2 linked regions of the Sus scrofa genome follow. The protein of the gene in region 1 purifies or fractionates together with the protein of each later gene. This does not show direct contact. Links are inferred from orthologs where the notes say so. Each region holds a gene or a part of one and is shown in the gene's direction. Other genes may lie near its edges.

Region 1 (9,298 bases):
CAGCTCGTATCTCAGGTTGCTGTGGCTGTGGTGTAGGCTGGCAGCTACAGCTCCAATTGGACCCCTAGCCTGGGAACCTCCATATGCCGCATGTGGGGCCCTACAAAGCAAAAAAAAAAAAAAAGCTGGGTGTACTCAGGCACATGGACACGTACCCCTACATTTTCAGAGGGGACATTGTGAGTTCAGTGGATGTGAACCATATGCCCTCCAGGAGAGAAGATCTAGCCAAAAGACCACATGGCGGCTCAGTGCCACCGTAGACAGGGTTCCTGAGAAGTAAGCGAGTGGCTCTTTGTGCCATAGGTCCCCGTCTGGGCAACTCACCGGTGCCAAGCATCGTCCAGTGTTTGGCAAGGAAAGATGGCACAGATGACTTCTACCAGCTGAAGGTAAGTGAGGTACCAGATGTGGGGAGCCATCCTGCCAGCTTGGCTCCTCCCTCCTCCCAGCTTCTCCTGCATCTCTCATGACCAAGAGCAGTGCCATTTCTTCCTGGGGTGCTGTTGGTGTGTACACACATTGCCATTACGCTGGGAAAGACCTTTTCACTTCGTCCATGCATGTGTGGGCACATGTGCCAGGGTGGCGTGGGAGGACGTGACCCCCTGCTTCTCCTGTTTTGGTCACCCTGCTTGGAAAATTAAGGGCTGGGGGTTTTGTTTTTTTTTGTGTGTGTGTGCCTTCTAAAGATCCTCACCCTTGAGGAGAGGGGCGACCAAGGGATAGAAAGCCAGGAGGAAAGGCAAGGCAAGATGCTGTTACACACTGAGTACTCCCTGCTCTCCCTCCTCCACACGCAGGATGGCGTGGTTCACCACCACGGGCTCTTCCAGGTGAGTGGCAGAGGGGGCTGCCTGTCGTCCCCCCACCCCCGCATCATGCTAGCGAGGCCCCCCCCCCGCTGCCCGTTGTCTCCCTGCAGTGGTGTTTCCCAGTGGGTCGGCTGGAGGTCAGGCTGGGCCAGCACGCCTGCTATGATGATGGCAGCCTAGCGGGAATGCACCCGGTTTGCAGCTTGCAGGCTTTCTTTGAGGAGCCGCTTTTCCGAGAAAAGCGGAAAGCAGGAAGTTATTTAAAGACACATGGGCTCCTTCTAGCTGTGTTGTCAGGAACGGCCAGGCCAGGGTGGAAGGGAGGGCGGTGAGGAGGGCTGGGCACCGGGGCATCTGTGGATCTCCCAGTTGCTTTTGGTACCAGCAGTCCTTCTGTCCATCTGGGTGTTTCAGCTTCCATAGCAAAGATCCCTAAGCCCCGGGCTTGGATGTTCCAGGTCCCTTAGGAAAGGTACTAATTAGTAACTGGTACTCTAAAAAGAGCCCTCCTGGGGATAGTTCTGAAACTGCATCTTCGACAAAAAAAAGCTGGGTTCAGAATGCTGGGGGTGAAGGGTCGCCTTGTTCAGGCCCCCCTTGGAGCTTTTGCAGCACCCACAGCCCGATGCTTTGGCCAGACCCACTTATGCTAGGATGAACCTGGTACTTGAGAGGCAGCCTGGTGTCAGGAAGGGCACACAGGTTGTGTGACCTTGGGCAAGTCAGTCACTCAGGTTTCTAAGCCCCAGATTCCTCATCTGCAAAATTGGGATAATGATAATGGTGCCTACCTTGGAAGAAGGTGGTAGGAAATGAATGAGAGGCTATAAGGCACTGAGCCGGAGGTCCTGCTGTGGTGCAGCAGGTTAAGGATCTGGTGTTGTCTCTCTGGTAGTATGGGTTTGATTCCCAGCCTGCTAGCACAGTGGATTAAGGATCTGGCATTGCTAGAGTTGTGGTAGAGGTTACAACTGCGGCTCAGATTCGATCTCTAGCCCTGGAACCTCCATATGCCGTGCATGTGGCCAAAAAAGATGGATGGATAGATGGATGGACGGATGGACGGACAGACAAACAGGGCACTGAGCTGTCCCTTATCAGTTTGATTTCTTGAGGTAAGATAAGTGGAAAATACTTCTCACCCCAACACATACACCCCACCAAGTTCTTATTTTTTCTTTATTGGTCGTTTTGTCTTTTTAGGGCCACACCCGCGGCATATGAAGTTTCACAGGCCAGGGGTCTAATAGGAGCTACATCTGCCAGCCTACACCAGAGCCACAGCAACACAGGGTCCTTAACCCACTGAGTGAGGCCAGGGATCAAACCCACAACCTCATGGTTCCTAGTCAGATTTGTTTTCGCTGCATCACGACGGGAACTCCAGTCTTTATTCTTAGATGTGCAATGAGAGCCAACTCGGAGCATCAGCAGGCAACTCTGAAAATTAGAGTTTTCCTTAAACATGAGATCAAATGAGGGTAGTGATCATGATTTCCTGTTTCATCTCTGGTAGCTTCCAGAGCTAGGCCTTGGTGTAGGTCATTTTGTTTGTTTGTTTGTTTTGGTCTTTTGTCTTTTTAGGGCTATACCTGCGGCATATGTAGATTCCCAGGCTAGGGGTCTAGTAGGAGCTGTGGCTGCCGGCCCACACCACAGCCACAGCAACACTGGATCCGAGCCACATCTGCGACCTACATCACAGCTCATGGCAACACCGAATCCTTAACCTACTGAGCAAGGCCAGGGATTAAGCCCGCAACCTCATGGTTCCTAGTCGGATTCGTTTCCGCTGCACCACGACAGGAACTCTGGTGTAGGTCATTTTGGATAAGAGAACCTGAGTGTTTAGAAGTATTTCCAGAGTCCTCTGTGTGCCAGATGCTGGGCCTCTGGGGAAGAGAGGATGAGAGTTAGGATCCTGCCCTGAAGGAGCAGTGTGGATGTTTCATCCCCTGGAGTTCCTAGTCTGCTGGGTTGACACTGAGGGCCTCCTCAGGCTGGCAGGATAAAAGTCCTCGTGTTGCACGTGTGTTTTCTCTCACTGGAAGTACCTTTTCAGCAAGGAAAATGGGTCCAGAACTGCCCACCTGGGGGTTCGTTGCAGTGCCAGCTTACGGAGCCCTGGCTGGGCAGGACCGAGTACTTGGCGTGGTTGCGTTTCTCCCCACAGCCTGTGAGGTAGGGGTTGCTGGCTCCCTGTCACAGACAAGGAGCCAGAGACTTGGAGAGGCTAGGTGAGCTGCCCCGGTCCCACGGCTAGGACACGGTGGAGCCAGGGCCTGCACCCAGCTGTGACATGGCTGCCCAGGAGTCCTCCGTCCATGTGAAAGCAGTTGTCCTGGACACACAGGGCACATGGCTTCCACCATCTTGGGCACTGGAAGGAAGTGGACATTGGTCATTACTAGAAACCCTAGGAGCGCCATGGAGGGGAGGCTGCCCCGGGCCTGGGCCTGCTGCCTGCACCCTGAGCTCAGGGTCCTTTGACTGCCAGTGCCCAGCCCTGATCCAGACACTTTGCATTAGGACCAGAGCATGAAGCCTGAGCCTAAACTACTTCAGCCTCAGCCCTGGCCAAGCCTGGCACTGGCACAGGGGAGGTAGGGGAGTGCTGAGCAGCCCATGGTCCGTGCTGCCCAGGCCTCAGGCCTCCAGCGCCCACACACACAGGCTTTCCCAGGCTCCCTCACTGGTTTGTGTGGTCAGCTCCAGAGGAGCCCCAAGGCCCTGGCCCTGCTGGGCCTGTAGCCGAGCCCCGGTCTGCCCCCTCCTCCCAGGACCGCACCTGTGAAATTGTCGAAGATGCAGAATCCAACCGGATGGTTAAGAAGATGAAGAAGCGCATCTGCCTCGTCCTCGACTGCCTCTGCGCTCACGACTTCAGCGACAAGACCGCCGACCTGATCAACCTGCAGCACTACGTCATCAAGGAGAAGAGGCTCAGCGAGCGCGAGACCGTGGTCATCTTCTATGACGTGGTGCGCGTGGTGGAGGCCCTGCACCAGGTGAGGCTCTGCCCAGAGGCATCCTGACCTCCATGCCCTGGAACGCCCCCCTTCCCGTGCTGCTCAGCAGAACCGCACTGTCCTGCCCTCCCCTGGGTGTGCTTTGCAGCTGGGCATGTCCAGAAGGAAGAGGGCCGGATGACAGGCACACCCGCTGAGGTGCAGTGCTGCAGGCCTCGGCCCACAGTGCCGGGCACCCCGCAGAGTCCAGTGCCGTAAAGCCCCATCAGCCCGTAGGCCACGCTGTGGTCTCCCAGCCTCGGCGATGACTTGTGAGCTCTCCATGCGGGCGGTCACAGCCTGTCTCTGAGCTTTCCTAGGGGTGGGGTGTGAGGAGCCTGAGACACGGGTTAGGAGAGCCTGGGCCTCCTCCATGCACACAGCTCCTTGCAGGCCAAGCTGGCCGTACTTGGTCACCAGAACCGTGAGGATTCATCTTGGAGGGTTTTGGTTTGGGTTTTGGTTCTGTTTTGTTTTGTTTCCCCAGTGGGATGTTTGATGGAGACAGAGAGAGGAGTGGTTTTTTGGCTGCCCTGAGGGGAGAAAACAATGTCACCCAATTTGTACACATGGTTAATGAGGCCCAGGAATGGTCCTGATCTGTCTGTGGCTTACACATCAAGGCACAAGCATAACAAGGCAGCACCTAAAAGCCCACTTCTGATAGTCCAGGCCCAACCCTGGCTCTGACCATAGTATAAACCATGGGCCTGTTGTTTTCCAGAAAAATATCGTGCACAGAGACCTGAAACTTGGAAACATGGTGCTCAATAAGAGGTAAACTTCACTTTTCTTCTTTTGTGATGTCACCTTGGGGTTGGGATGGGCTACATGCTGCAACTGCCCAGGGCCCTGCAGCATCCCCACAGGGATTCTGACTCAACACAGCCCACTTCCCCCAGGAATCCCAGGGGCTGGGGGATGCAATGCCTACTTCTGTCTTGCCACATGGGAATATGGTGCTTGCTAAGAAGAGGGGCCGTAAAGGCCACAGAAAGAGCTGTAGGAAGGATTTCAGAGGTCCTCCCTGGTCTGTTCATTTGTCATGCCCAGTGGATATGTAGTAAATGACTATAAAAAAATAGACCAATGGGTGACAGAATAACAGATGAGCAAAATGAGGCCTTGTCGTGGGTCAGGTTCCCAGGAAACAGACTCTGAGATGTGTGTGCAGGAAGTTTGCTGGGCCGTTCCCTCAGGGAGAAGGAGCCGGGATTGCGCCGAGGGAGAAGCTAAACTGTGGCCGGGCATGACAGAGCCTCAGCCTGGAAAGCCTGAGAGCCAGGTAGCCCTTCAGATGTCCCTAATCAAGGCAAGGGGGCTCATGGCCCTGAACCCTCATTGTGACCAGCCACTGAGTGGAGTCTGTGCCCAGGGGCACAGGATTGGTCAGGGCAGCTTCATTTGGCTAAGAAGATGTTCGGGAAGAGGAAGCAGCCATGAGTGGTCAGATGCTGACATTCCTGGCAGCAGGGAGAGAGCCACTCGATCTTAGAGGGGATCTGGGTGGCTCACCCCAGCATCCTTGGTGAGCCAGTGGCAGAGGGAAATCACATAAGGCTCCTGCCTCAGACTCTCACCCCACTCAAGCCGAGCAGAGCCCTTCCGAGTGATCTGGGCACTGACAAAGGGACACCAACCATACCAGGGCCCAGGACCGATGAGTAGGGAGCGTTCTTTGTGCACATGGTCCTGGAACTACCAGGCCTCTGCCACCTGCTCTCCCTGAGCCTCTCACCCTCACCTCCTGGTGTTCAAGTGGGTCGGAGGGCTTGCAGATGGCAGGCAGCACACACCTCATAGCAGAAGAGGTGTGGTGGGGATTTGGTCCATAATGTGGTTGCCTACCCAGGAGGGCCCTGGGCCCGCTATCCTTATGAAATGGCCAACGGCACAGTGGCCACAGGGAGATGGGCCTCTGTGGAGGGGCGTGGGGCACCAGGCCTTGTAGTGCCACCCCAAGATGCCATCGAGAGGGTGCCGCTGCCCCTCAGCGCTCAGCCTGTCTCCAGCCTCACCTGGCACTGGGGCTGCAGACAATCCCCCAGAGTTCATGGCCTGATGGGGGCAACCAGAGGGCAGACACCACCCTCTAATGGAGGGCCTGTGTGCATAGGACAGAGCGGGGCAGTGTCAGTTCATGAAGCATGAGTAAAGGTTTGCCAGCCTGAGAAAGTGAGGTGGTAAAAACTGGGTCCTGAAGTGCTGCATGGGGAGGAGGGAAGGAAACAGGGTTTCAGGGCTGCTTGAACCCTTGACCAGCTGAGAGAGAGCAAAGCTGGGAAGAGCAGGTCTTGGGGGTCAGACCTGGCTCACAGCCCAGCACTGCCTCCTAATTACCCTTGAGACGGGGAGGGCTCATTCATTTGATTATTCGCCCATGGATTAAGTCACTTGTGTATTGAGAGGCTGCTGTGGTACCATGCACTTCTCCGAGTTTCCATGCCCTCTTCCGTGGAAGTGGAGGTGATTATTCCTCCCTGCAGAGACCGGCCCAAGACCTGAGACTGCCTGGCAGGGTTTGGCCCCCCGAAAGTGCAGTCTCGTGCTAGACCAGCTGGGGCCTGGGGGGCCTGTACGCTTGCTCCCTCTGGAGGTGAGGCCCACTGTGTGATGGGTGGCTGATGAGGATGCCAGTGGCAAGGTCCCCCATGCCCCGGCCCCAGGAGGGCAGGTGTTGGAGAATGCAGAGCTTCCCAGCCCTGAGAGCCCATTGTCTTGGCATCAGGAGACTCGGCTCCTGGCCTTCTGTGGGACGTTCCTGCATCCCACTCTGAGCCGCAGGCTCAGTCTTCACAAAGAGGGCATACGCTTTGAACACTTAAGTCCATCTGGCTGCAGAAGTCGTGTCCTCCCAGCCTTCCACGCAGCCCTTTATTGGCTCAAGGTGAGCATCCCGAAGGTGTTTATGGGCACGTGATGTCAGGGGCTCCTGTGCTGCTAACCAGGCCAGCAGCTCAGGCCTCTTTGTCTGCTTGGTGGCTTAGCTTCTGCTCCCACTTCTCCAGGCCCTTGGTTCTGGAAATGTCCTCAGGTCACATCTCCCTTGAGTAAGGCCAGTGTAGCTATAGCAGCTCGTGTGTGTGTGTGTGTGTGTGTGTGTGTGTGTGCGCATGCGCGCGCTGCGCTCGAGTGTCTCAGTTATACAGTTGTTTAATCCAGTAATCCCTTTCCTGTGCTTTGGTCAGTCAGAGGTTCTGGGCACCTCTCATGTGAGGCCTGGGTGCCTGGAAGGCAGAGCTTGTGCTGCAGAAACCACGCTAAGTGCCCAGGGCCCGTTCCTGTGTCTCTGCTGTGGTACCATGCACTTCTCTGAGTTTCCCTTCCCCCTTTGGGGCCTCCCTTTCATCCTTGGGAAGTCAAAGGTGGACCTGGAGGAGCTCCAGCCCCTTCCTGCCCAGCAGGCCAGCCCTCACTCCAGCTGGAGAAACAGTGACAAGCTGGAGGCCCCCAGCACAGCAGAGGAAATGGGGAGAAGGGCTCTCGGGCAGCTGTGGTACCAGTCCCCCTGCTGTGGAGAGAGGGCAGGGTTGCCATCTGAAATCCCCTTTTGGGACTCCATGAGGCTTGCTGCGGGCTCTTTGCCGTCCTCCTTTCTTTCCAGGTGGGCATGTCGCACACCCAGTTCCTAGAAAAGGACACCACGCTGCGGTAGCCTGAGGGCCACAGCTGGAGTGACTCCCAGCAGGTCATGCTGACACGGGACTCCCCCCTTCATCCCTGCTGCCCGCGTCCCTCCTGCCAGGACGCGCCTGAGGGGTCTGGGGTGATGGTGGCAGGGCGGGGAGCATCACCAGGCTTTGGGAGGACTCAGAGCTGCCTGTGCGGTTTCCTGTGGGAGAGGCTCCAGCTCGGCCCTGCTGCGTCGCGCCGAGCTTTCCTTGAGCCCCACATGCAGGCGGCTGGCAAGCCCTGCTGGCAGGGCGGAGTGGAGAGCCCGCCGCACTGGCACGTGCGTTCCAGGCCTGTCGTCACCGTGTGGCTCCTCTCACCCCCCGCCTGGGGGTGCTGCCTTCCCTGGGGTCTCAGATGGTAACCTCTGCCAGCTGTGCCCACTGTCTGAGGAGGTCCCATCTGAGCAAGCAGTTGGTAACCAGTCCCTGTCTGCCAGGTCCTGGATTCAGGGCTTTCCCTGGGATTATCTTCTTATCTCGTTAAATCCTAACAGCCCTGGGACTTAGGTGCTAATATTTTCCCTGTTCTGCGCATGAGGAAATTGAGGGTTAGCAAGAAATTAACTCGCATGACCAAGATCACAGCCAGGAAGGGGCAGAGCCAGGACTAGAACCCAGGATCTGACTCCCAGCCCTGCTGGACCCTCCCGAGCTGACCTCGCAGTGTCTCCAGCTCTGACCAGGGGAAAAACACGGTGTGTCTGCTGTGGGCGGCCCTGGCGGACGAGGGGCTTGAGCAGTCCTGTGCTCGGGACAGTGACGCAGGTGGTGCTAAGCGGGAGCAGGCCACTTCTTGACACGATCCTTGGTCAAGACCCTTCGCCTGTGCTCTCAGGCTCCAGCCAGTCCAGGGGCCACCAGGCAGGTTTCTGTGGCATGTGTCAGGGCAGGCCTGTTCGGAGAGCGAGAGTCAGCGTTTCCGTTTGGAACACCGAGGACAGACTGGCCTTTGTTTTGCCCCAAGCCTTTGCCAACAGAATTCCCCAAGAAGGCTCAAGGGCTCTTGGAGCCTCTTGAACGCAGCCCCGCACACGTGTGCCTCTGAGCCGACCTCCTTCCCACCCTGGAGGCTCTTCTAGGGAGAGGCCACCCGGGGCCCTGGTGGGGCCTCCCTTCCTGCCGTCCTCCTCACCTTCTCTGCTCAGCTGGCCAACCCCGGAGCCTGGCAGGTGGCCCGGCTCACCTTTGGGTGGGGAGGTGCCCTTCCTCCCTGCTCCCCCCAGGCCAAGGAAGCTCTGCACCCCAGCTCGTCCACATCCAGGGGTGGTGTACAGCGTCCTCACTGGGCCACTGACTTCTCATTGTGAGCTTCCTAGAAAGGGTCAGAGCCCAAAGCCGCTCTCAAAGCAGCTCTCTCAGCTGGGGGATGTGGGGTTTTCCAAGTCAGTGTAGAGTCTACAGAAGACCAGGCGTGAATCAGCTCAGATGGAACAGAAGGGAGAGTCAGGGGCTGGGCACAGTCCAGGGACACGGTGGGCACCGCACTGGTGTCACTCAGAGTGCAGACTCAGACGCACTCAGACAGACCCAGGTAGGATCCTTCTCCACTGCTCATTAGCTGTGTGACCCTGGGCAGGTCCCTTCACCTCTCTGTGTCCTAATTATGCCATCTGCACAGTGGGCAGTGAGAAAGTCTCCCTCATAGGCTATCGTGGTGCAGGGCCCGGGGGGGCGGGGGAGTGAAAACAGTCCCCATCGGGCACTTGAGCCCGTGTCTGCACTTACCACAGGCTCAGTAAGCATTAGTTTTCTGTACTGTCCGTGATGCTGTGACAATGGCAAGGGTGATGACCGAAGGGAT
Region 2 (9,853 bases), on another chromosome or scaffold:
TGAGGTTTTGGGTTCGATCCCTGGCCTTGCTCAGTGGGTCAAGGATCTGGCATTGCCATGAGCTGTGGTGTAGGTCACAGATGCGGCTCGGATCCCCACGTTGCAGTGGCTGTGGTGTAGGCCGGTGGCTACAGCTCCGATTAGACCCCCAGCCTGGGAACCTCCATATGCCGCAGAAGCAGCCCTGGAAATGGCAAAAAGACAAAAAAAAAAAAAAAAAAATTCGAGGTGTGAATTGGCAAGATGTGTTTGGGGCCCCACCAGGAGCTGGCATGGGTGGGGTGCTGGCAAGGAGACAAGAAAGCTGAGGGTGGAAAGAGAAGTTTGGATGTTATCCGAGGGTCCCTGCAAGGTTTTTAGGCCAGGGCCCGAGATGATCAAATTTCAATGTTAGAAAAAGGACTCTGATGGCTGTGTGGGGAATGGATTGAGGGAGCTCAAGCACACATTTTGTGTAGTCACCGTTACATCTCGGGCGCCTCCCAGGAACACAGGCAGAGGAGGTGCTCGGGGTATGCGGCAGGGATGAGGGAGTGACCCCATTAGGAGTTTACTACAGAAATCCAGGAGCAAAAGTGCAGGGCTTATATCAGTCAGGAAAACAGAACCCAGGCCGGGAAATTCAATGGGAAGAATTAAAGCAGGGAGCCAGTTACAAAGGTCTGGGAAGAACAGAAGCCAAAGAGAGCAAAACAACACGGTAGGGGGGTAGTCCAGAGATTAGCAGCTGGAAGCTACTTCTACCCTAGGGCTGGAGGGACAAAAGCGGTGGGTGTCACTTCTTCCCTGGAGCCAGAGTGCCTTGAGAGAGCCGGGACGAAGGAGGAGGAAAGGGGAGGGCGGGTCTCCCAGGAAGTGGACTCCGATGGAGATTAGCACGCAGGTTTATTAAGGAATGCTTTTGGAAGGGGAGGAAAGGAACACGACAGGGCTGGATGCAATCTCCAGAAAGAATTCAGATGACCCTAAATTGCCGGGCTGAAGCTGGGATGCCCTTCAGAGGGGGCTCAAATTGAGGCAAGGAGGCTGAACCTGTGTACTCCACAGTCACTTGTCATTGGATGTGGACCTCCTGGGAAAGGAGTGTGAACTTGAACAAGGCAGCCTTTCTCAGTCCAGGCGGTTTCCAAAATGGATTTACAAAAGGCAGCCAGGGGAGTGGAAGGTGGGGTGGGCATGGGTGGATAATTCCTTCTATCCAGTAGGAGGATCTGGCAGCCACACAGACGGGCTGTCTGGGGAAGGGGAATGGGGCGGGATAAAGGTCTGGAGCCACAGAAGAGGTGCGGCCATTGTCCCAAGCAGTCCCGTCTCCCTCCAGGGCTTCCCTCTGGGCAAAATGGGCTGCAAGCCAGTGGCCAAGGGAGCTTGAGACATAGTCTGCAAGGAGAGTTAGGAGGGGAGGGCAGGGGATGGCTCTGAGAGCAAGCAGATCTAGGATGGACCCAGGGACAACCCAGTGGGGGACAGGAAAAAGGCGGATTCATGAGGAAATCGCTGCTAAAGATTCTGGACCCGGGGGTGGCGATGCCTTTCTCTTCGAAGAGGCAGGAAAGGGGGTGTGCACTTCGAGGAAGATGCTGATGGTCCACGCTGAGTTTGCCATCCTAGTGCAGATGCTAAGCTGGCAGCTCAGTGGGTCTTGAATAGCTGGCACAAAATCAATGTGAAAGAGAGAAAATCAGGGCTCTCTCCCAGTTATAAGACCAAGTGCATCCTCCTCAGCCAGAATTGGAGCTCTTCTTGTTTTCCCCAAGGACTTCTGCAGGCTCAGCTCCACCTGGGCAGGCACTCTGGCCTCTAAAGTTCCCCACTTCCTTGCTCTCTTCTCCCCCCACCCCCCCCCGCAACTTCTTACAGCCCCACACATGCCCCCAGGTCAACCGCTTCTAGATGGAATCCTCCCTAACCCCTCTCTTCCCTCTGCAAATTGTAATCTGTTTTTTGAGTACCCACAAGTGCTTAAGAGCTTGAATGCTCCACCTTTTAGTAGTGATTTGATCACAGCAAGTAACTTCGTCTTTGCAGGCTTCTCCCTCTTGAAAAGGGGCAAAAAATAACCCAACGGGGTGGCTGTAAGACTGCAGTGACTATGTGTAAAGTGCTAAGAACTGTGCCTGGCATTTTACAGACCTCAATTAACGTTAGCTATTATTATTTTAATGCTCAATCTTCTAATCCCCAGCGTCTAGCTCTTACTAGATGCTTCATTAGTATTTGCTGAATGAATGGAGATTTAATATGGAAAAAATTTATCCTTGGGGCTCGACCTGGTTTTAGAAAATGAAATTTTTAGTACAAGGGCAGAAGGGATTCTGATAATAGCTATGTACGCTGGGTGTCCAGGGACTCCAAATCGACCTGGTTCTTGAAAGAAAGAAAAACGATAGATTCTAGGTTGCTTTTTCATGGAGCTTTGTGCAGCGTCTGACACACATTTCGCGCTCACCGCAATCACGTTGCACGAGTGCACGCACACGCCCTGGCAGGGCTGCCCGGGTGTAGGAAGTATCACTGTCGGTGGCAGAATGACTCCCACTCCGCTACCCGGCCACCACGGAACTGGGCTGGGCTGGCCCCGGGGCCCCAGACCCTGCAGGGCGTGTGGAGGCCGGGGAGGGGGCTAGAATCCAGCGGCGGCCACGTGGGCCCCTTCCGCCCTCTCCCCACATCCTTTGTTTCCCACCGGCCCCGGCTCAGGAAGCTCTTTCTGCGAGTCACCGCGAAGGGGCGGCCGGGGAGCCTGGAGAAGCTATTTCCGTGCAATCCCGGCGGGCGGCAGGCGCGGGAGGGGCGTGGAGGTGGAGGCAGCGCAGAAGGCCCAGTGTTTGCTTTTATTTCATCCAACAGAAGGTTCTATTTGTGGAAGCGAACAGACGCTGGGGATTAGAGCTGGGAGGGGGCAGGAAAAGGAAAAAAAAAAAAACAAAAAACCACATCCACAACCACGCATAGGTCTTCCCCGGAACTACCGCGTGGGGGTGAATGAGTGATTCTGGAATTCATCACCTTCTCTCTCTTCCTTTCCGCCGACTACCGCCGGGCCTCGCGACGCCCACGGCTCCAACCGGAGGTCCCAGGGCGCGGGGCGGTCGGTTGCGGGGGGAGATCCCCAGGGCAAAAGGCGTCACCGCGCGGCTGCAGCGAGCAGCGGGTGCAGCGAGCCTTGGTGCGCGCGCCCGCAGTCCATTGTGCTCGGTGTGAATGGGGAGCGCGCACCAATCAGCGGTCGCTTCGCCCCCCACGGCCCCACCCCTCCCGCCCACTTCCCGGGGACCCTGACGTCACGGGAACTTTTCCTCCACCCCCTCCTCCAGCTTCTAGCTTTGAGCCCGCTGCCTGCCGGAGGGCGCGCGCCGCCTCCTGCTTAGCCCAGCCCGGGGGGCGTGTGCGCGCGCCCCAGCCAGCTCGGGACACACCACCTGCGCCAGAGCGCGCGCTGCCCGGAGCATCCCAGCCCTCGGGCCACCCCCATCGCCCCCGCCGACCCAGCTCCTCCTCCCTCCTCCCAGCCTCCCCCCCCCCTCTCCGGTGACTGCTCGCCCAGCGGCAGGGCCCGAGTCGTCGCAGCCACCTCATTGCACAACCCGGCTTCCCAACTGTTTACACAGCCCGGCCTGTGAGTGTATGTGTGTATACAGCGTGAGTCACCGGGAGGCGGAGGAGGTGGAGGAAAAGGAGAAGGAGGAGTGCACTGGCCAGGATCGGTGCTGCGCACACACTCACTCACTCACACTCAGTCACTCTCTCTGAGCGCGTCTCGCTCGGGCACACTCACGCCGGGAGCCCGGAGCGCGCAGGATCCCGAGCGCCGCGGAAAAGTTGCTCCGGCTTTGGCCCCGAGACTTATTGCTTTGGGAAGTGCATTTGCTCCGTGGCTCCGCCGAGCCTGCGGAATCCTGTACTCGCTGTTTCGGACCTCGGTAAGGCCAGCCACCGCCACCTCTGCCTCCCTGACTGTCGGCAGCCTCGACAACAATAGCGGCGGCCGCCCCCTGCCAGGTGCCCGGAGCCGATACCGCGGGGGTCTGAGGACCCGAGCCGGCCTCCCACCCCGGGACGCGCAGCCACGGTGGTTCTCGCGTGTACCGCCAGCGCCGGGGAGAGGCTCCGGCTTTGCCCCCCGTGGGGGCCGAACCAAGCTCCGTCTGCAAACTCCATCCTGCGGGCTGGAATACGTCGCGGCGCCGGCGCCGACCCCGTCGCGCCTTCCCGCGCCGATCCGAGGACGTACAAAGCCGGGGCCGTCCCGGCGCCGGACGGGATGCGGGTCGGTCCCGTGCGCTCTGCTATGAGCGGCGTCTCGCAGCCCCGAGCCCCGGCCTTGCTGCTCCCGGCCGGCCGGGGCGCTCCTGCCAAACGCCTGCTGGACGCGGACGACGCGGCGGCGGTGGCGGCCAAGTGCCCACGTCTCTCCGAGTGCTCAAACCCTCCGGACTACCTCAGCCCCCCTGGCTCTCCCTGCAGCCCGCAGCCTCCGCCCGCCGCGCCCGGGGCTGGCGGCGGCTCCGGGAGCGCGCCGGGGCCCAGCCGCATCGCCGACTACCTGCTGCTGCCCCTGGCCGAGCGCGAACATGTGTCCCGGGCGCTGTGCATCCACACGGGCCGCGAGCTGCGCTGCAAGGTAGGCACCCGGAGGCCGAGGCCGAGCGGAGGTCGCGGGGTGGGGAGACACGGTGGCAGCAGAGTTATTTGGGGTTTCCTCAGACGACGCCCGGGGGCCGAAGGTGCCACCAGCGCTTGGGCTTAGGGCAAGGCGGATAAGTGTGTTTGAGTCCGGCAAGGTAGCATTGGACCGGGTTCACTATAAGGGATTGAGGGGTTCGGATGGAGTGGTATAATGGGGTCTTGGCGGTCAAGAGGAAGTGCGGTCCTCAGTTTTTTTTCTCTATGATTTCCTTAATGCCCAGTTTAGCGTGTGGCGTTCCACATAAGTTGTGGAATTGGTGGAATTGAAATGGATTCCAGGGCCATGCCTTTCCCCTTTTCTCATTCTCCTCGCTTCCCACTCCCTCCCCCCGCCCCTTGTTCTGGAGGGACGCCCTGCAGTGGGTTCCTCCTTGGAGCTTGGAGCAGCTGGCAGCTCTCTTGCTGGGGCTGCGAGGCATCCTGGCTCAGCTGCGGGTGATAGGGGGGCGGGCAGCCCGTGTCGGGCTCGGGTCTTGGGAATTCCGGTTGGAACCTGCGCTGGGACAGGGACCCTGTCCTCCCCGAGAGCAGTCTGAGGGGACCTTCCAATCAGGGCGGGGGAACTTGACGGGAGGAGGAGTGTTGGAAAGCCTACACTGGCTAGGAACCCTGGTATCCATTCGTGTCTTGATTTTCCGGCCAGCGATTTTCTTTTGAACATTAGGGATTCCATCCAGGAGATACAACTCCTGGAAACAGGATCCTGCGCGCGCTCCTCCTGCGCCCACAGACGCAGAACAGTCCCACAGTCCATCTACGCTTTGCGAGCTGCACGCCCGGGCCTCACACATCCCCGAGAACCCTCCAGGCTGCTCCTTTTTACCTGAAAGATAGGATCACCCCTCAGTTCAAGTCGCTCTTGGGTTTTCCGCGACTCACCTGACCCTCACCTTCCCGTCCCTGGGCTCGCTGCTGCCACCTACTGTCCGACCCGAACGAAACTTCAAAGGCATAATCGAGCCCGGTTGAAAGGGGGGAAAAATCTTTTCTTCTGGGTCGCTGGGGCTGTGAACTGTTTTGGGAAGAGAATGAGTGTGGGTTGGGGTGGGAGGAAGGGGGCAGCAGAGAGATTTCTGGAGCTGGTTCCAGAGCAGTCAGGCCTCAGAGGTGGGGTGGGTCTGGTCATTGTGCAACCCCTTCCAGTTCCTCCCAGCAGATAATAGCTGAATCCAGATGGTGACAGCCCGTGTGTCACCGTTTCCAGTCGAGTCTAGGATATGAGTAACCGGACTAAACAAAAGGCCCTTAAAGAGACCAGCCAGCTTCTTAGAGGAGATGCTGCCCATTTCCGGGGTGAAGGGGGGAGGGGAGAGATAAATAAATGAAAAAAACCCCGGAGAGAATCGTATGGTCCTGTGGGAATTTTAACTCAAGAGTACATCTCCCTGAGCCTCAGCAGGTTGCTTAGGGCTGTGTTGACAGTCAGTCCCTCTTTCTTTCTCTCTGGGAGTCATCTGTTCCTCTGTCTGATGGCAGAGCTGCATGTTCTTTAGCCCGTGCTTCCACTTGGAGGCTGCGGAGTCGTACATTTCCAGGGCTCCTGGAGATCCCTGGGGGACCTCTAGCAGTCACTTTGCCTAGCATTACCTGCCGATAAGGAAGGGCCACAGAGGATGGTGACGAAGGAGCTTAGTTAGCTCTTTGGAGCTGGTGGCCTCAGGGGAAGCCATACATAGAAGACTTCTTTCCAACCATCCATATGGTAGCTCTTTGGATATTTGCTCAACCAGAGCCCAAGATGCTCCTGGTTCTCGGTGCTGGGGGCTGCATCAGTTGGGGTTGCTGAGCTAAGGGGGTGGAGGGGAAATGAATGGAGCCTTGCTTCCATCAAAGCCTGGAGAGGGAGAACTGCAGCCCAGCCCAGGATCTGGGAGGCAGCCTCTGCTTTTCTAGCCTCCTAAGTGGGTCACCTTCTCTCTGCAGGTGTTTCCCATTAAACACTACCAGGACAAAATCCGGCCTTACATCCAGCTGCCATCACACAGGAACATCACTGGCATCGTGGAAGTGATCCTCGGGGAAACCAAGGCCTATGTCTTCTTTGAAAGGGACTTTGGGGACATGCACTCCTATGTGCGCAGCCGGAAGAGGCTGCGGGAGGAGGAGGCCGCCCGGCTCTTCAAGCAGATCGTCTCTGCCGTTGCCCACTGCCACCAGTCGGCCATCGTGCTGGGGGACCTGAAGCTTAGGAAATTTGTCTTCTCCACGGAGGAGAGGTGAGCGGCCCCCACAGCCCCTCCTCTGCCTTTTGGGCACCAAAACGAAGGTGGTAGAGCCATTAGGTGCAGTGTGTTGGTTCAAACACCACCAAGCTCTCAGCTGTCCCAGAGTTAGTATTTAGGGGTCCCCTCCTGAGGAGCCAAGGCCAAGGTTGGTTATGCGGCCCCCTTGTGGATGTGGCGTGGGGACCCCTTGGTGCATCTGGGGGATGTCACATGATGACAGGATGCCCTCCCCACTTCTACCCGGGATCCGTTTTATCACATTGTCATCAGAAAGGTCAGCTCTTCTGGGGTACAGATGTCAACCTGCATCATTCCTAGAGGACATCTTCGAATCCTTGTTTATACTGAGCGGGTTTGTTTCGTTCTGTGTGTTTGGCTTTTGTACCCAGTAAATATCACAGAGCTAGTCAGCCTGTTGTATTTGCAGAATTCCGTCTCCTTCCTTCACTCCGCACTCCTGTTCCATGTCAGGCCTGCCCCCCCCATATTTTCTCCACGTTCTCTAGTGACTTTTTAGACATCTTGTTTGGCTCCATCTTCAGAAAATAGCTACACTGAATAATAAATGGAAGTTGGCTGGAATTGGTTGCTAAATATAGATCCTGACTTACCTCATAAAGAACAAGATGAGCTCGATAAGACAATAATGAGACATTAAGATTCAGAGCTGAGGTTTCAGACAAGAGAATTCAGGAAGCCGCAGGAGATAAACCTTACCTGATTTTAAGAGGTGGGGCCACATCCCTAGTGGAAAGATTAAAAAGCAATACTATTGTATGATTGCAGAGGTGGGTGGGTGTTATTTTGTGGTAGCCATGCAAGCAGGGCTCACTCCACCTGTGCCTTTTTTACCCTGAAGTTATTCAGGCCCTGTGAAAAAGGGCAGGGTTGAGTTGCCAGAAAGCAAGGCTTTGTGCCTGACCTTGCATAAGTATTAGAACACACTGATTAGCAAAGAAAAGCAAAGTATTGGCAATGAAGAAGTTTCCAATTCCTGGAACACACTCTTAGATATGGTGATGTATTTTCTGAAACATGCCTTACACACCTCCTTGCTGACTTTTGAAATCCGCATTGCACAGGCAGATGTCATGTGCATGGCGTTTGGCAACCCGAGGGTTAAGCAATGGCAGGCTGACGCTATTCGTGTAACCAGCACAGGTGCAGGGTTTTAGTACTACAGCAGCCAATCAGCGGCAGACAGTGTGGGTTGAGTCATATTTTCCGTTTACAGAACCAATGGGTATTTTACATAACGACGGGGAGGTCAGGCTGAGGACATACCGAAGTTAGCACATGTATACTACACTCCAGGGAACAGGAAGGCAGGAAGAAAAAAAAAAAAAAAAACAAGTAGACCTTTGAGAGGAAAAGGAATTGACCCAGTAGCCTGTACGAAATGTTTGCATTTAACTTCACAACAAGTGACTTACTGAAACAGGGCTGGGAGGAGCCCAAGTGGCCACCAGATATTGGAGGCTCCCCATGTGGCTCTGGGCTTTGGGGGAACCAAGGGGCTTGAGAGGTTGGATCGGAACAAAGAGGCACCTGCAGCCTCATCAGAGGCTTGACTAAAGATTTTTCAAACTTTTAGTTTTTACCTGAACAGAGAAAATATGCTCAAGTGTTGATGTGTCATCCTTGTGTGTGTGTGTGTGTGCGCGCACGTGCGCAGGCTTTTTAGGGCTCCTACATCTTTTAAATCCATCAGCCGCTTCTCTGTCTTCTTTGTCCAGGTTAAGCATTCTTTGCAGTGAAACATCCCAATAAATGTAATTAATATTCCTTGTACTTGTACGCACAGTCATCACAGCTCGGGCTCAGGTGGACAGAGTTCCCTCTGTGTGTGTATGTCAACGTGAGCAGGAGTGCTAACAACCTGTGGGTAATAACAGTGACCTTAGACTCCACTTTCTGTACTGTTCTCTAAGGCAAAGCGTGGGTCCCAGGAGCCCTGGCAGTCCCTGGCCTGCTAAGAGATAAGATCGGCTTGTAGGATGCGCAGGCTTTCCCTGAAGAATTAGGATCAACTGCTCTTCCCTGATAGCTTTTGGAGAAAAGTCAGCATTCCCTGAGACAGGCTCCCACTGCTGCAATGTGAATTGTGTAAATTGTGTAACTCTTGTTCGGTAGGATCTCTCGTATAAGCTGCAGCATGATGAATAGTATTTGGGGCTTTGCATCATACCCTCCACCCCAGGCGCTCTCTGAATACTTTGCAAATGTTTATTGCAGTTTGTATTGGTTTGTGAAATCCTGAGTCCTCCTGGGTGGTTGCAAGGCACTGCGTACTGGACAAAGGGGTAACTGGCATTCCTCCAGCCTCTGCGAGGAGCGCCTGTGGGCGCTGTTATTGGGAGGGCCCTGTTTTTCAGAGCAGCTGATCTGGAAGTAATGGCTTGCTTCCTCTCTCCTGCAGAACCCAGCTCCGACTGGAGAGCCTCGAAGATACACACATCATTAAGGGAGAAGATGATGCTCTATCAGACAAACACGGCTGCCCCGCCTACGTGAGCCCGGAGATCCTGAACACCACAGGGACCTACTCCGGGAAAGCGGCCGACGTTTGGAGCCTCGGGGTGATGCTCTACACCCTTTTGGTGGGACGCTACCCCTTCCATGACTCAGACCCCAGTGCCCTTTTCTCCAAAATCCGACGTGGACAGTTCTGCATTCCCGACCACATTTCCCCCAAAGCCAGGTGCCTCATTCGCAGCCTCCTGAGACGGGAGCCTTCCGAGAGACTTACGGCTCCCGAGATCTTACTCCATCCCTGGTTCCAGTCGGTCTTGGAACCTGGGTACGTGGACCCAGAAATAGGAACTTCCGATCAGATTGTTCCAGAGTACCAGGAGGACAGCGACATCAGTTCCTTCTTCTGCTAATCCCCAAACCTCAGAAACCTCATTAATTCTCACACATGGCATTTCTGTATCTAA

Evidence for each region. Proteins that work in one complex are often made in the same cells at the same time.
Region 2: the proteins of STK40 (region 1) and TRIB1 purify together in Homo sapiens (affinity purification with mass spectrometry; 3 studies listed by BioGRID and IntAct, counting the BioPlex papers as one, with this or other methods). This does not show direct contact. The link is inferred for Sus scrofa from reciprocal best matches to the Homo sapiens genes STK40 and TRIB1.

The regions. Positions count from the first base shown.
Region 1 is NC_010448.4:92,450,203-92,459,500, reverse strand, and holds part of STK40 (serine/threonine-protein kinase 40), read left to right. Parts: intron 1-306; coding exon 307-392; intron 393-692; coding exon 693-836; intron 837-3,595; coding exon 3,596-3,823; intron 3,824-4,547; coding exon 4,548-4,600; intron 4,601-9,298. UniProt on the Homo sapiens protein: May be a negative regulator of NF-kappa-B and p53-mediated gene transcription.
Region 2 is NC_010446.5:14,291,577-14,301,429, reverse strand, and holds the start of TRIB1 (tribbles homolog 1), read left to right. Parts: upstream 1-3,310; 5' UTR 3,311-4,264; coding exon 4,265-4,624; intron 4,625-4,646; exon of another isoform or gene 4,647-6,010; coding exon of another isoform or gene 6,011-6,088; intron 6,089-6,113; exon of another isoform or gene 6,114-6,388; coding exon of another isoform or gene 6,389-6,391; intron 6,392-6,612; coding exon 6,613-6,905; intron 6,906-9,333; coding exon 9,334-9,799; 3' UTR 9,800-9,853. UniProt on the Homo sapiens protein: Adapter protein involved in protein degradation by interacting with COP1 ubiquitin ligase. The COP1-binding motif is masked by autoinhibitory interactions with the protein kinase domain.